Sus scrofa: one gene and its partners. The protein of the gene in region 2 binds, or shares a complex with, the protein of the main gene of each other region. Links are inferred from orthologs where the notes say so. Each region holds a gene or a part of one and is shown on either strand. Other genes may lie near its edges. The genes, in order: ARRB1, AP2B1 and LDLRAP1.

Region 1 (3,899 bases), on a different chromosome or scaffold from region 2:
CTCGCATCCTCATGGGTATTCGTCAGATTCGTTGCCACTGCGTCACAAGAGGAACTCCCACCACAGTTGTGTTTTAATTTGCAGGTTTAATTACAACCCGGTTTGCAGTGGTTTGTTACAGCAGCCACAGGAAACCACGAGAGGGTGGCTCTTTCTGTCTCTGACCCCCACAGAAAGCTGGGAGATTTCACTGATCGAAGAATCAGAGTCTGAGAAACAGGAAACTTGAAACTCCAGATTCTTGGAGTGGAAAGGGAGCCGAGCAGGGAAATCTCGCCCTCCTCATTTGTGAGCTGGGTGGGGGCCGGCTCGTGGGCAGCAGGTCTGAGGGAGGAGACGGCCCATCCCCCTCTTCCCCCCACCAATGACCTGGACTCAGGAGGGTCTGGGGATCAGCCCAGGGGTTAAAGGTGACGCCCCCTGGCAGTGCCCAGAGAAGAGACACTCACCAGGCGGTGTTAAGTGCCAGCGCCCTGGCCAGCGAACGCTGGGGGACTGGGTGGCACGGAGCAGCTGCCCCAGTTTGCCCCCTGGGAGGGGGGGCCACCCAGGGGGCTTGCTAGAGGTGAGGCTTCTGGAATGGGGCCCCCGGGGGGCTGGCAGTCCCTGACCTCAAAGGTGAAAGGGTAGGCGTGCTCGCCCAGCTTCTTGATGAGGCGCTCCTGCAGCCGCGTCAGGGGCTTCTTGTCCTCGGGGGCCGGCGGGAAGGACTGCACGTTGGCCACAAACAGGTCCTTGCGAAAGGTCAGGCCCAGGACATCCAGGTCCTCCCGGCCGTATCGGAAGGCGCAGGTCAGCGTCACGTAGACTGCGGGGGCAGGGGACACTGAGGAGGGGCCGGGGGGCCGGGGAGCAGCCAACACGCGCCCCAGCCCTGGGACTGGCTCCACCAGAGGCATGGATCTGTCCCTGGGCGCCTCCCCGGGGAAGGGCGCGCTGCCCTTGGGACAGGGAGGGGGGGGGGCCGTCAGGGGCCTGGCCCCTGGGACGAGGCGGGGGCTGACTGCTGGGTCCGTTCAGCTTTCCCCACCCCTCCCAACCCAGCAGCCCAGGGCACGGGGGCGAAGGGGCTCTGACGGGTTCACAGGGGCCGGGAAGGAGCACAGGGGAGTGGAGTCGGGGGAAAACAAGCCTGGGTGGTGTCCCGAAGTCATGAGGGCTTGCCCCGCCCAACCCCTGCCTCCCGCCTTCCTGCTGACCTCGGACCATCCCTTCGCCCCCCCCAGGAATCAGTCTTCTCTTCTGGACAGTGAGTGAGGGCCTAACTCCTACCCTGTTTGCATTCCCAGCCTCCCGACAGCATGATGGATGGGTGGGTGGATGCCAAGGGCATTAAGAGGGTCTCCCAAAGGGGGCGTGGCCACGGCCGCCCAGCCAGACGAGGCCAGAGCACCTGCTCTGACGCTGGTTAGAGCTGTCAAAGGAAGAGCCAGTGGGGAGGGACAGGGACCGGCTTGCTGCCTCTCCTCCTGCCAGCGTTCTGTCTGGGAGTCAGGGAGGCCTTGGGACTGGGGGTTCTGGGGGAGGAGAGGCCCCCTGACAGGCTGGCGGGGGGACAGCTCACCTCTCCTCTCCTTGAGATACTCAGGATCCACCAGGACCACGCCATCTGCAGGAAAAACAGAGAGTGAGCAGACTTGACCTCTCAAACTTCTGAGCCCCAAAGACCAAGTTAAATTCAAACCCACCCATCTGTCTGTCCAAAAGCATCATGAAAAAGAGGCGGAGGCCAGCAGCTCCCAGGAGACGAGTCCACTATGCCCCCCACCCCCACCGAGGCCAGCCTCACAGACCCAACAGGTTGTTTAACTTGCCTTTTTTTTTTTTTTTTTTTTTGGCTTTTTAGGGCTGTACCTGCAGCATATGGAGGTTCCCAGGCCTAAGGGTCCACAGAGCCACAGCAGCCCGGGATCCGAGCTGCATCTGCGACCTACACCACAGCTCACGGCAACGCCGGATCCTTAACCCACTGAGTGAGGCCAGGGATCGAACCGGCAACCTCAGGGTTCCTAGTCGGATTCGTTTCCACCGCGCCATGATGGGAACTCTAAGGTTATATAACTTCTGTTTCTTCATCTGGGAGATACTATGCTGGCTCCCAAACCCCAATATCAAGCGGAAAGGCCACGGCCACACCTTCCACAGATTCTCTAAGGTCCTCGGCAGGCTCTGTGCCAAACCCCTTAACACCCCTGCAGCGACACGGGCATCTGTTCACCGAGAGGCGAAGGCATGAATGGCCTCCCCTCGGTTCAGGTCAGGTTTGCCGCTAGTGAAATCCTGTATCAAGCCTATGAGCAAGTTGCAGCGCTCTAAGATTCTGGATGCGGGATGTAGGGATCAGGCTTCTGATTCTGGGCTACGTACCTCACAGGGCTCCTGTGAGGACCACGTGAATTAATGTGTGCAGAGGGTGGGAGAGTGCCTGGCACAGGTGACCCCATGGAGAATGTCCCAAGGCCTGGCCTTGGGAAGGCAGAATCCAGCTGAAGACAAAGGATGTTTTCTCTGCCCAGAACCCCAGGAGACCAGAAAGACTGGTTTGGGGGCACTCCCTCGCCTGTCATCCCCCATCTAACCCACCACCACCCCCATCCCACACTGGCCCACAGCCAGCCGCTCAGAGAAGCTCAGAGGCCACATTAGGAAGGGAGGGCCCTGCGAGCTCCTGGTCACCACCCCCCCCACCCCCAGTGCTGGGCAGGTCCAGGGCACAGCTGGTCAAGGGCACGCCCACCCCATGTCCAGAGCCTGCCGGGCCCCTTCCCTCCTTTCCTGGGGGGTTTCCTCTGTGCCTGGGCGCCAGGGACTGAGCGGAACCCCAGGAGGGGGACCCTGACAAGGGCACTCCCCTAACAAGGGGTCCCCCGGAAGCTCCCTGGGGGAGGGAAGCTGGAGCCAGGGCGTAACGGTCATCAGTTAGATGACCAAGGGACAGCCAGCCCATGGTGGCAGCGACAAGAGCCTTGCTCTGAGGCTTGGAGAGCTGATCCCGGAGGCTGGCGGAGGAAGGAGGGCCTGGCCCAGACCTTAAACGTCCGGTGTGTGAGGCTGGGGCTTGGACTTGCCCCCAAGTTTGAAGGGCAGCCAGGGGGATAGTTAAGCATCGGGAAGAACTAACCAGCTCAGTGCTGTAAGGGAGAAAGTTCTCTCTGCGGGTCATTTGATCAGCTCTGGCGTGCTCTGCGATCCACAGGGCCTGGCATGAAACGGGTGCCCTGTGGACACTTGTCAAGCCGTTCTCAGGGTGCCTGTGTGCATTGGGGGAGCCAGAGCCCTCCTGCTCCTGCCCCTCCCCTGGCCCCTGCGCCCCCACCACGACCCTCAAAGGCCCCGGCTTCAGACCGCCTGCAGGCAGCCCCGCCTTGGAGCCGCCACAGGCAAACACAGAGTCCTGCCTCCTGCCTCCAAGTTCAGGGAGAAGGGGGCATCAGGCAGAGGGAGCAGTGAGCTTCAGAGGACACCTGCTAGGGCTGGAGAGGAAAAGCGGGGTCCCCCTGCTCCAGGCCATGAAGAGAGGGGCCTGGAGGACTCTGGAGCCCGCAGCCTGTTCAAGGACCCCAGGGACTCCCCGGGTCTCCTGCCCCAAGGTCACAAAGGCCTTCCTCCCCGGAGCCAAAGCCTGTCACTCTGCTCTCTCTGCCCCCTCCCCTGCCCGGGGGGCTCTGGGACCACACGCCACTCCTCTTGGCCCCAGCACGGCCCCCAGGGATGTGATGACAAGCTTGCTGGGAATTTTCCCCCGGGCGACACATCCCAATGTCTTCACCTGGAATGGGCCTCGTAAGGTTCCCAGGGCCGTTCTCCTGCCTGTCACCCTCTTCGGTCTCACTTGGGTTTGTCCCTGTCCCTCTTTAATCTTTACCCTCTCTGGGCCTCACCGTCCACATTTGTAAGAC
Region 2 (3,899 bases):
CAGCAGCAACAAAACCCACTGCAGTGAAAATGCCGTATCTTTAACCCTGCTATGTTGCAAAAGAATTCCAAGGAATTTCTTACTGGTCAGGTTTTAAAGATGTGACAATGGTACTATAGTTACATATGTTTGGGATTTACTGTAAAAGTAACCAGTAGGAAAGGAGGGGAGTCAGGGAAGCATGTATGGAGAGTATAAGTTAAATAAGGCTGGTCACAGGCAGGTGACTATTGAAACTACAAGACTGATACTTAGCAATTTATTATTCTATTCCCTCTACCTGAAGATGCTTGAAAATTTCCATAATGACAAAAAAGTTCATCAACTGTTCTAAGACCTACTGAATAAAACAAAATTAAATAGCAGTTCCTGCAGTTTCCATTTCTTCTGACCCATAAGCATAGTTCTACTGAGATAAAATAGGTAAAGCCCCAAGATACTGATACTACAAAGACATGCTCAACCTTTGTTAGCCTTGGAAGGCAAAGCAGTGAGGTTTCACCTGGTTTTCTTCTCCCATCTGGCAAAAATGCACCGAGCCCTGCTGACAGAAGGCTCACCATATGGTTTGAACTGGATGACAAACGCTGGCACACAGAATGCTTAAAACACGAACATTCCTACTCATTGCCAGTACTTCTCTAGAGGCTCTCTTTTGGAACAGAGGTTGCTTATTTGCAATGCAGACACTTACTATATCAAGAGACATTTCTGAAAAGACACTGCTCTTGAATCCCTGGGAAAGAGTTACCTTCACAAAGCTGTTGACAGCCATGATGGCCATGTCTGGCTGACTCTTGGCATAGTTCATCAAATAGAGATACACAAGCTTCTTTAGTTCCAGGTTGTCAGTCTGCATACAATTCACTACATCTGGAAACAGAGAGCTGAGAAGAGAGAAAGGGAACATGAACAGATGTTTGTGCCAAGCTGTTGGATAGAACACAAAGAAATGGCCTTAATTTTCTTTTTCTTTTTTTTTTTTTGGTCTTTTTTGCCTTTTCTAGGGCCACTCCCGCGGCACATGGAGGTTTCCAGGCTAGGGGTCTAACTGGAGCTGTAGCCACTGGCCTACACCAGAAACACAGAAGCTCGGGATGAGAGCCGAATCTGCAACCTACACCACAGCTCACAGCAACGCCGGATCTCAACCCACTGAGCAAGGCCAGGGACCAAACCTGCAACCTCATGGTTTCTAGTTGGATTCAATAACCACTGAGCCACGGCGGGAACTCCAAAATGGCCTTAATTTATAAAGTGATTTGATGCAAGGACAAATCTCCCTGCAGTGATAATTATCACAGAAATAAATTACTAAAGAAATTATAGGAGTTCTTTTGCGGCTCAGTGGATTAAGGACTCAGCATTATCACTGCAACAGTTTCGGTCACTGCACCATGAAAAAAAAAATAGTAATGGTCTCAAGAAGATGTCTAAAAATAAATTTTAAAGAAAAATTTTACTATGAAAGCAGTATAATGAATCTGATGTATCAATCACCCAGCTACAAGTAATGATACATACCCAATCTTGTTTCATATACAACTCAGTTGAGAGAATCCCCCAGTCCCTACTTCATTTAGTTGCTCTTAACGATTTTTTTTAAAAATCCTAGACAGAGTTCCTGTTGCGGCTCAGCAAGTTAAGAATCCAAAATACTGTCCATGAAGATTCGGGTTTGATCCCTGGCCTTGCTCAGTGGGTTAACAATATAGCATCACTGCAAGCTGCAGTACAGGTCAAAGATGTGGCTCAGACCTTGAGATGCTCTAGCTGTAGTATAAGCTTGCAGCTGCGCTCCAATTTGACCCCTAGCCTGGGAACTTCCATATGCTTACAGGTGTGGCTGTAAAAAGGGGGGAAATAAATCCTAGACATAATATCTCATATATAATATTTTAGTGTGCATCTTTAGGTATCCTTTTTTTGGGGGGCTGTACCTGCAGCACATGGAAGTTCCTAAGCCAGGAATCAAACCCACACCACAGCAGCAACCTGAGCCACTGCAGTGACAAAGCCAGATCCTTAACCTACTGCACTACATGGGAACTCCAGAAATCTTTTTTTTTTTTAAATCACTATATCACACACAAAAACTAGCAGTAATTCTTCATATCAATTCTTTGCAGTTCAAAGCACTACAAGTGTCACTGCAGCAGCTCAGGTGGCTGCTGCGGCATGTGTACGATCCCTCACCCAGGAACTTCTGCATGCCGTGAATGCAGCCAAAAAAAAGGGAAAAATGAGAAAAAGGTTTGCAGCAACCCTACATTGTCAGAAAATGGTTAAATCAATAATTTTTTAACTGATGTATATACTTTTTAAAAATTCATAATGCTACTGCTGCACACTTAATAAACTACAGTGTAAAATCATATAACTTTTATATGCACGAGGAAACCAAAAAATTTGTGGGACTTGCTTTATTGTGACATTTGTTTTAGTACAGTGGTCTGGAACTGAACCCTCGGTATCTCCAAGGTATGCCTACATATAGAAATAGAATTAATTATAAAAAAGAAGATGGAATGCACAGTTAAATAATCCATCCTATCTCCAACGACCCAATGACTTCTGCACTGGAAGGCGAATTATTTGCATGTAGGTACCTGGTGTAATTTCATGCACATGTAGATATTTAACAAACACTATAAACACTTTCCAAAAATGAGTGTTCCTTCCATTTCTTAAGGGAATAGCTCATGTGTAAAACAGTAAAATCAGTAAATAAATGCGAAACATTAACCAAGAGTAAATTAAAGATCTTAAATAATTAATTTCAATAACCTGCACAAGATCAAGAAGATCCTCATCAAGAAGAGTCCAAGTTCTAGAGGTAAAAACTGTTAAGTACCAACCTACAAAGCTAGAAACCTAAACTTTCCAAATGGCAGCTACTAGTCACATAGCCTACTGAGCATTTGCAATGCAGCTGGTCCGAACTGAGATGTGATACATGCATAAAATACACACGGGAAGTTCTCTTGTGGCACAGCAGGTTAAGGACCCAGTGTTGTCACTGCAGTGGTTTGGGTTGCTGCTGTGGTGCAGGTTTGATTCCTGGACCAGGAATTTTTATATGCTGCAGGCACAGCCAACCCCACCCCCACCACAATGAATTCTAAAGACTTCATACAGAAAATACAATGTAAAATATCTCATTCATAGTTTTTGCCTTTTTGGTTTTTTTGTTGTTGTTGCTATTTCTTTGGGCCCCTCCCTTGGCATATGGAGGTTCCCAGGCTAGGGGTCGAATGGGAGCTGTAGCCACCAGCCTACACCAGAGTCACAGCAATGCAGGATCCAAGCCACATCTGCAACCTACACCACAGCTCACGGCAACGCCGGATCGTTAACCCACTGAGCAAGGGCAGGGACCGAACCCGCAACCTCATGGTTCCTAGTCGGATTCGTTAACCACTGCGCCACGACGGGAACTCCTCATTCATAGTTTTTAATACTGGTTTCATGCTGAAATTATACTATTTTGGACATACTAGATTATAGATTATATTACTTATTATAAATTAATGTTATCTGTTTTTTATTTTTTAAATGTGGCTACCAGAGAATTTAAAAATACATATGTGGCTTGCACTGTACTTCTATCAGATAGCCCTCAACTTGAGGGACTTGCAGGGGAGACTGAAATATGGTAACCTGCAAAGTGCTCATCTCAGTTTATTGTTTCTTTGAAATATCTTTCCAGGCACAGCACAAATCCCACTTTCTCTAAAAGAGTTCAAATCTTGGAGTTTCCATCGTGGCTCAGTGGTTAACGAATCCGACTAGGAACCATGAGGCTGCGGGTTTGATCCCTGACCTTGCTCAGTGGGTTAAGGATCTGGCGTTGCCTTGAGCTGTGGTGTAGGTTGCAGATGAGGCTTGGATCCCCTGTT
Region 3 (4,409 bases), on a different chromosome or scaffold from region 2:
GTACGGAGGGACCAGGGTGAGCCACCCTTCCAGGCAGCTGGAAGAAAGGAAAGCTCTAGGCAGGGAGGGAGACAAAATATTTATGGCCCCCAAAGAGACAGGGGTGGAGGGAACCATGCATGGGAGAGGGAGTGAGCGCTCCTTCAAAGTCAGGACTAACTGGGAGACAGGGGATAATGAGGTTCAGTGCAAAGAAGACTATCTACTGCTGGCTTTGCATTGGGACCTCAGGCAAGGCCTTCTCTGGGCTTCAGTTTCTCTGCAAATAAAACAATAATCAAGTTAATCCCAGCTGAGGGCCTGGAGGGGTGAGGAGCAAGTCACAGCTGATAGCAGGTGTCAAGTCTAACCTTAACACTTCTGGCTTCAGTTTGGCCCCAAAACTCAACAACAGGGCTCATACCTTGAGGGATGGGTCCAAGGCCTGGCTGAGACACCACCGCAGGCCAGGCTGCTCCAGCACTCCCACCCCAGACACACCCCACAGTTTCCAGCTCTACCTGTGGCCACTGCCAACCTCAGGGGCCACCAGCCCTGCCCCAGTTGCTTCCATGGCCAGAGTCCATGTGGCAACACTGATAAGACCCCTGCAGGGATTCAGAGCTAGCTCTTGGAAACTCCATGCTGGGGCCAATGACCCTACTTTCCTGAGCCTCAGGCTCCTTTATCTGTAAAATGAGTCTGATAAGAACCCCTGCTCTGTCACCTCACAGGAGCAAATGCGATAATGGAAGCAAAAACACTGTGGAAAAGGTAGAGTGACAAAAGCAGTAGTTACCATTTATTGAACTCTTTCTCTATGCCAGGCAAAACACGATTTAACTCCCAACAACAACGAAATCTGAGGCAGCTACTACTGTTATTGACAAGTGAGAAAACTGACTTAATAATGAGGGACAGGTGGGGATCTGCCCCAGCTCTTTCCAGTTCCAGAAGGCTCCAGGATAACACTCTGATTTGGGGGGGGGGGCTACCTAAGAGAAGGGGGGCTCTCCTCTCCTTTTCTCTGAAGATGGAGGCAGGCTCTGAGCCCCCAGAACTCGTTCCGCTACATTAAGAGTTACGCTGAATGTCCACATGACAGGCAGGGGGAAGGGGAGTGAGGGGGAAAGAAACCACCAACCAGAAGCATTATCAACAACCTTCACAACACCCCTGCCAGGTGAGAATATTTATCCCGGTTTTGCAAATGAGGAAACTGAGGATCAGAAAGGACAGGTGACTTGCCTGAAACCAGAGAAGGAAGGAAAAACTTTTCCACCATCCAAGGTGGCTACCTCTCCCCTTCCCGGTACTGAGCAAGGCTGCTAAGTATCCTTCCCGTGTCCAGGGCCCACCCCTTCCCTTATCCCTAGGGAAACTGCAGGATTCCCCCATTGGAACAGGCCATCATTCTCAGAAGTCTTGGTCAAATCCCACAAATATTTAAAGGAGCTATTTTGGGAGCCAATAATTGAGGGAGATGGTGCATCCCTGACCTGCTCCAGCCCTGATGGTCTCTGACCCCACCCCCACCAGCAGGCACCAGGCCACATTCCCAGTGCCAGTCTTGGTTTAAAAGGCAGCCACAGCTGGAAGAGCAGAGTGGGCAAGAGGCGGGGCAGGCGGGCTCCCTAGGCCCAGACACGCTGGCACTCCCGGGCCTGGGGAACTCGGGCTCCCCTGGTGGAGCCCTGGAAGGCAAAGAGGGAAGGGGGTGGGGTGTGACTATACTGACAGCAGTTTCCTGGTGCAGGAGAGGCCAGGGGCCAAGGCAGTTGGCAGAGGAGTGGGAGTGTGCAGGAGTCCTGGCTTTGGCTCCACATCTACCAGGATGGCAGGTGTGACCCCAGGCAAGCCACTCCGCTTCTCCTCATGAAAAACGAGGGACTTGGACTGGGTTTCTCAGGCCTCAGGGGAAGGTGCCAGGTGCCAGGTTCCCAGAGAGTAACTGGAGACAGGGAGAGGAGGGGAAGGCGGGCGAGGCTCCTCCCGGGCTCCCAGGGGCCCCTGGGAGAGGTGGCTCTGCCATTCCCCTGGGCGCCCAGGGACTTGGGAAGCTCAAGGGGGAAAGTGGGAGACAAAAGCAGGTTTCAAAAATAGCAGGATCTCAGCCCTGCCACCTGGACCCAACCAGAAGAAGGGACAACGGGGCCTAGATAGCCGGGTGTGCAATATCTTCTGAGACCCCAAGCTGAGCCTCACCCCCAACTTCAAGTAGGTACCTGGGAACCTAGGCTCACACCTGAGTCGGCTTCTGGGCGCCCAGGAGTCAAAAGATGGCCTCGTGGGTAGGACCGGGGTGGGGTGGGGGTTGCCAAGTGGGCTCCTGCCAGTCGCGGACCTCCGGGCTCGAGTGCAGGGGTGCGGGATGGGGGCATTTTCCTAAAAGCCTGCCCCCCCTCCCCCTCCCCCAGGTACCGACGGCGAGCTCCTGCCTCCCCTAGCTGTCCAAGGTGGGGAGACGCTGGGGCAGCGCAAGTTTGTTCTTGTGACCCGCAACCCCCTCACACTGCAGACCTCACCTGGCGACCCCGAGCTCCGGTCTCCTCCCCTCGTCCCCAGCCGCACAGAGTAGGGACAGAAGCGGGAATACAACTTGACCCCTGGCGACCCCTAACCCTGCAGGGCCGGGCAAGGTCGCGCCAGGCCGCGGGGCGCGGGTCAGGCCCTTCCTCTCCCCACGGGGCCCGCAGGAGGCGGGTCCGCGAGCCCCGACCCCCGCCCGGCCCCCGCCCGGCCCGGTTGGACGCGCACACACTCACTCCGGTGCCGGCCACTGCCCCCCCAGCTCTGCTTGGCCAGGCTGGGGCTTCGGATCAGCGCCCGCCCGGCGGACTTGAGCGCGTCCATGGCCGCTCTGGCCGCCGCTGCTGCTGCCACCGCCAAAACTCCGTCAGGGAAAACTTTCCGCCGGGGCCAGGCGGCGCGCGGGCTCCGCGCTCCTCCCCTCCCCGTGCGAGCTCCGCGCCGACGTCCGACGGGGCGGGGCGAGGGCCTGCCCGGCCCCGCCCCTGGCCCTGCCCCTGGCCCCCCCGCCGGGCCTTTGCCCTAGCTCCCCAAAGCTGTCAGACAAGGGCCCCCCCTGAGGCGGGAGCCGACAGTCCTAGGCGCCCCGTCTTTTCTTTCCTCTCCACAACTTCCTTATTTCCCACGGGGAGGAGCTTGAGGGTTGGAGACCCGCCGCACCCGTCGCGGGAGGCAGGCGCTGGCCTAAGATTTCTCGACAGCTGAAAAGTCGTTGAAAACCATTTCACTGATGGGGAGACTGAGGGGCGGAGAGAAGAAGAGGGTGACGCCCACTGCAGTGAGAGGCTTGGAAGGAGAGCTGACCGTGATAGAACTTTGCTGGCAACGGGGCAGGCAGACATATAAAGTTTGCCTTAGCAAGACCCGTTGGGCACTTGACTCACCCAACAGACCCAGCCTCTCCCTGGCACCATCTGGGCACTCTGGGCTGCCCCCTGCCCACCCTACTCCCCAAGTAGTCTCAGAGGTGGTGTGGCCTGAGTCTTATGCTCTGAGGTGTGGGGAAAGGAGCCTTAGCTCTGACGCTGCCTTGCTGTGTGACCTCGGGCAACTCCTTTCCCTCTCTGGGCCTTAATCTTTATCTGTAAAGTGAGATGAGATCCTACCTCTAGCGATTCTTTCAACCTGCCAGACCTTGACCCAGACGGTCCCCTGCTTGCTAGAAGGCACTTCAGTGGGAGTCTGGACTCAGAATTCCTCAAGCACAGATGTTCTAAGTCCAATATTTAGAATTCTCTCTAGGATCTTGTGCCTTCCCATCAGACTTTAGGAAGGGAGTCAAAAGGAGAGCACATATATTCAGACCATAGCCTGACTTCTTCTGTTGGTGAGATGCCACAGGCCTGAGTGTGGTTGTTGCCCGTTTCTACTCTTTTTGCCTCCGTCGCACTTTGTGTCCTTCGAGGGCAGTCAGTTTTTCTGATTCATTTCTGAATCCCAAATGCCTAGGAAGAAGTCCAAGTGGAGTTGGAATATAGTCAGTGTTTATTTTCTCCCTTCTTCCCTCCTTTCCTCCCTCTCTCCAGCTTTTCGCCCCAGCAGGCTGTCTTCTCCTGCCAGGGGCTGCAGTGAGGGCTAAGTAAGTCCGCAGGGCTGAACCCCCAGCTCTCTAACCCCAAGCCAGCTCATTCCTGGGGCAGAGAGAGGATATTCTGAAGCCTGAAGGAAAAGCAGTCACCTGGGGCTGGCTGGTGAAGGGCAGCTGGTGGCGTCCAGCTGGCCTGGGGAACCATATGGGCCCAGTAAACCAGCAAGCCTGGAAACTCTGTGCTGCAATGAAGGCTGTTTACAGGGCCATCCCCTCCTCCCGGAGGTGACTTGCTGGGAGCTGTCAGCCTTGCATCCCCCGCAGAGGGGCAGCCTGCTTGTGCCCCTTCTGCCAGTACCAGAAACAGAAGCAG

Evidence for each region.
Region 1: the proteins of AP2B1 (region 2) and ARRB1 are in contact, whole or in part, in a crystal structure (PDB 2IV8), measured with the Homo sapiens proteins. The link is inferred for Sus scrofa from reciprocal best matches to the Homo sapiens genes AP2B1 and ARRB1. Residues at the interface, in NP_001273.1 of Homo sapiens: Arg834, Gln835, Phe837, Leu838, Trp841, Lys842, Asn846, Glu849, Ile876, Ala877, Arg879, Val881, Glu882, Gln884, Tyr888, Glu902, Arg904; in NP_004032.2 of Homo sapiens: Asp384, Asp385, Val387, Phe388, Glu389, Phe391, Ala392, Arg393, Arg395, Leu396.
Region 3: the proteins of AP2B1 (region 2) and LDLRAP1 are in contact, whole or in part, in a crystal structure (PDB 2G30), measured with the Homo sapiens proteins. The link is inferred for Sus scrofa from reciprocal best matches to the Homo sapiens genes AP2B1 and LDLRAP1. Residues at the interface, in NP_001273.1 of Homo sapiens: Arg834, Gln835, Phe837, Leu838, Trp841, Glu849, Gln851, Ile876, Ala877, Arg879, Val881, Glu882, Gln884, Met886, Tyr888, Glu902, Arg904, Ser915; in NP_056442.2 of Homo sapiens: Asp253, Leu255, Asp256, Ala258, Phe259, Ser260, Leu262, Ala263, Gln264, Arg266, Thr267.

The regions. Positions count from the first base shown.
Region 1 is NC_010451.4:9,540,023-9,543,921, forward strand, and holds part of ARRB1 (beta-arrestin-1), read right to left. Parts: intron 1,610-3,899; coding exon 1,565-1,609; intron 809-1,564; coding exon 612-808; intron 1-611. UniProt on the Homo sapiens protein: Functions in regulating agonist-mediated G-protein coupled receptor (GPCR) signaling by mediating both receptor desensitization and resensitization processes.
Region 2 is NC_010454.4:39,906,344-39,910,242, forward strand, and holds part of AP2B1 (AP-2 complex subunit beta), read right to left. Parts: intron 888-3,899; coding exon 752-887; intron 1-751. UniProt on the Homo sapiens protein: Component of the adaptor protein complex 2 (AP-2). Adaptor protein complexes function in protein transport via transport vesicles in different membrane traffic pathways.
Region 3 is NC_010448.4:83,029,169-83,033,577, reverse strand, and holds the start of LDLRAP1 (low density lipoprotein receptor adapter protein 1), read right to left. Parts: upstream 2,950-4,409; 5' UTR 2,833-2,949; coding exon 2,745-2,832; intron 1-2,744. UniProt on the Homo sapiens protein: Adapter protein (clathrin-associated sorting protein (CLASP)) required for efficient endocytosis of the LDL receptor (LDLR) in polarized cells such as hepatocytes and lymphocytes, but not in non-polarized cells (fibroblasts).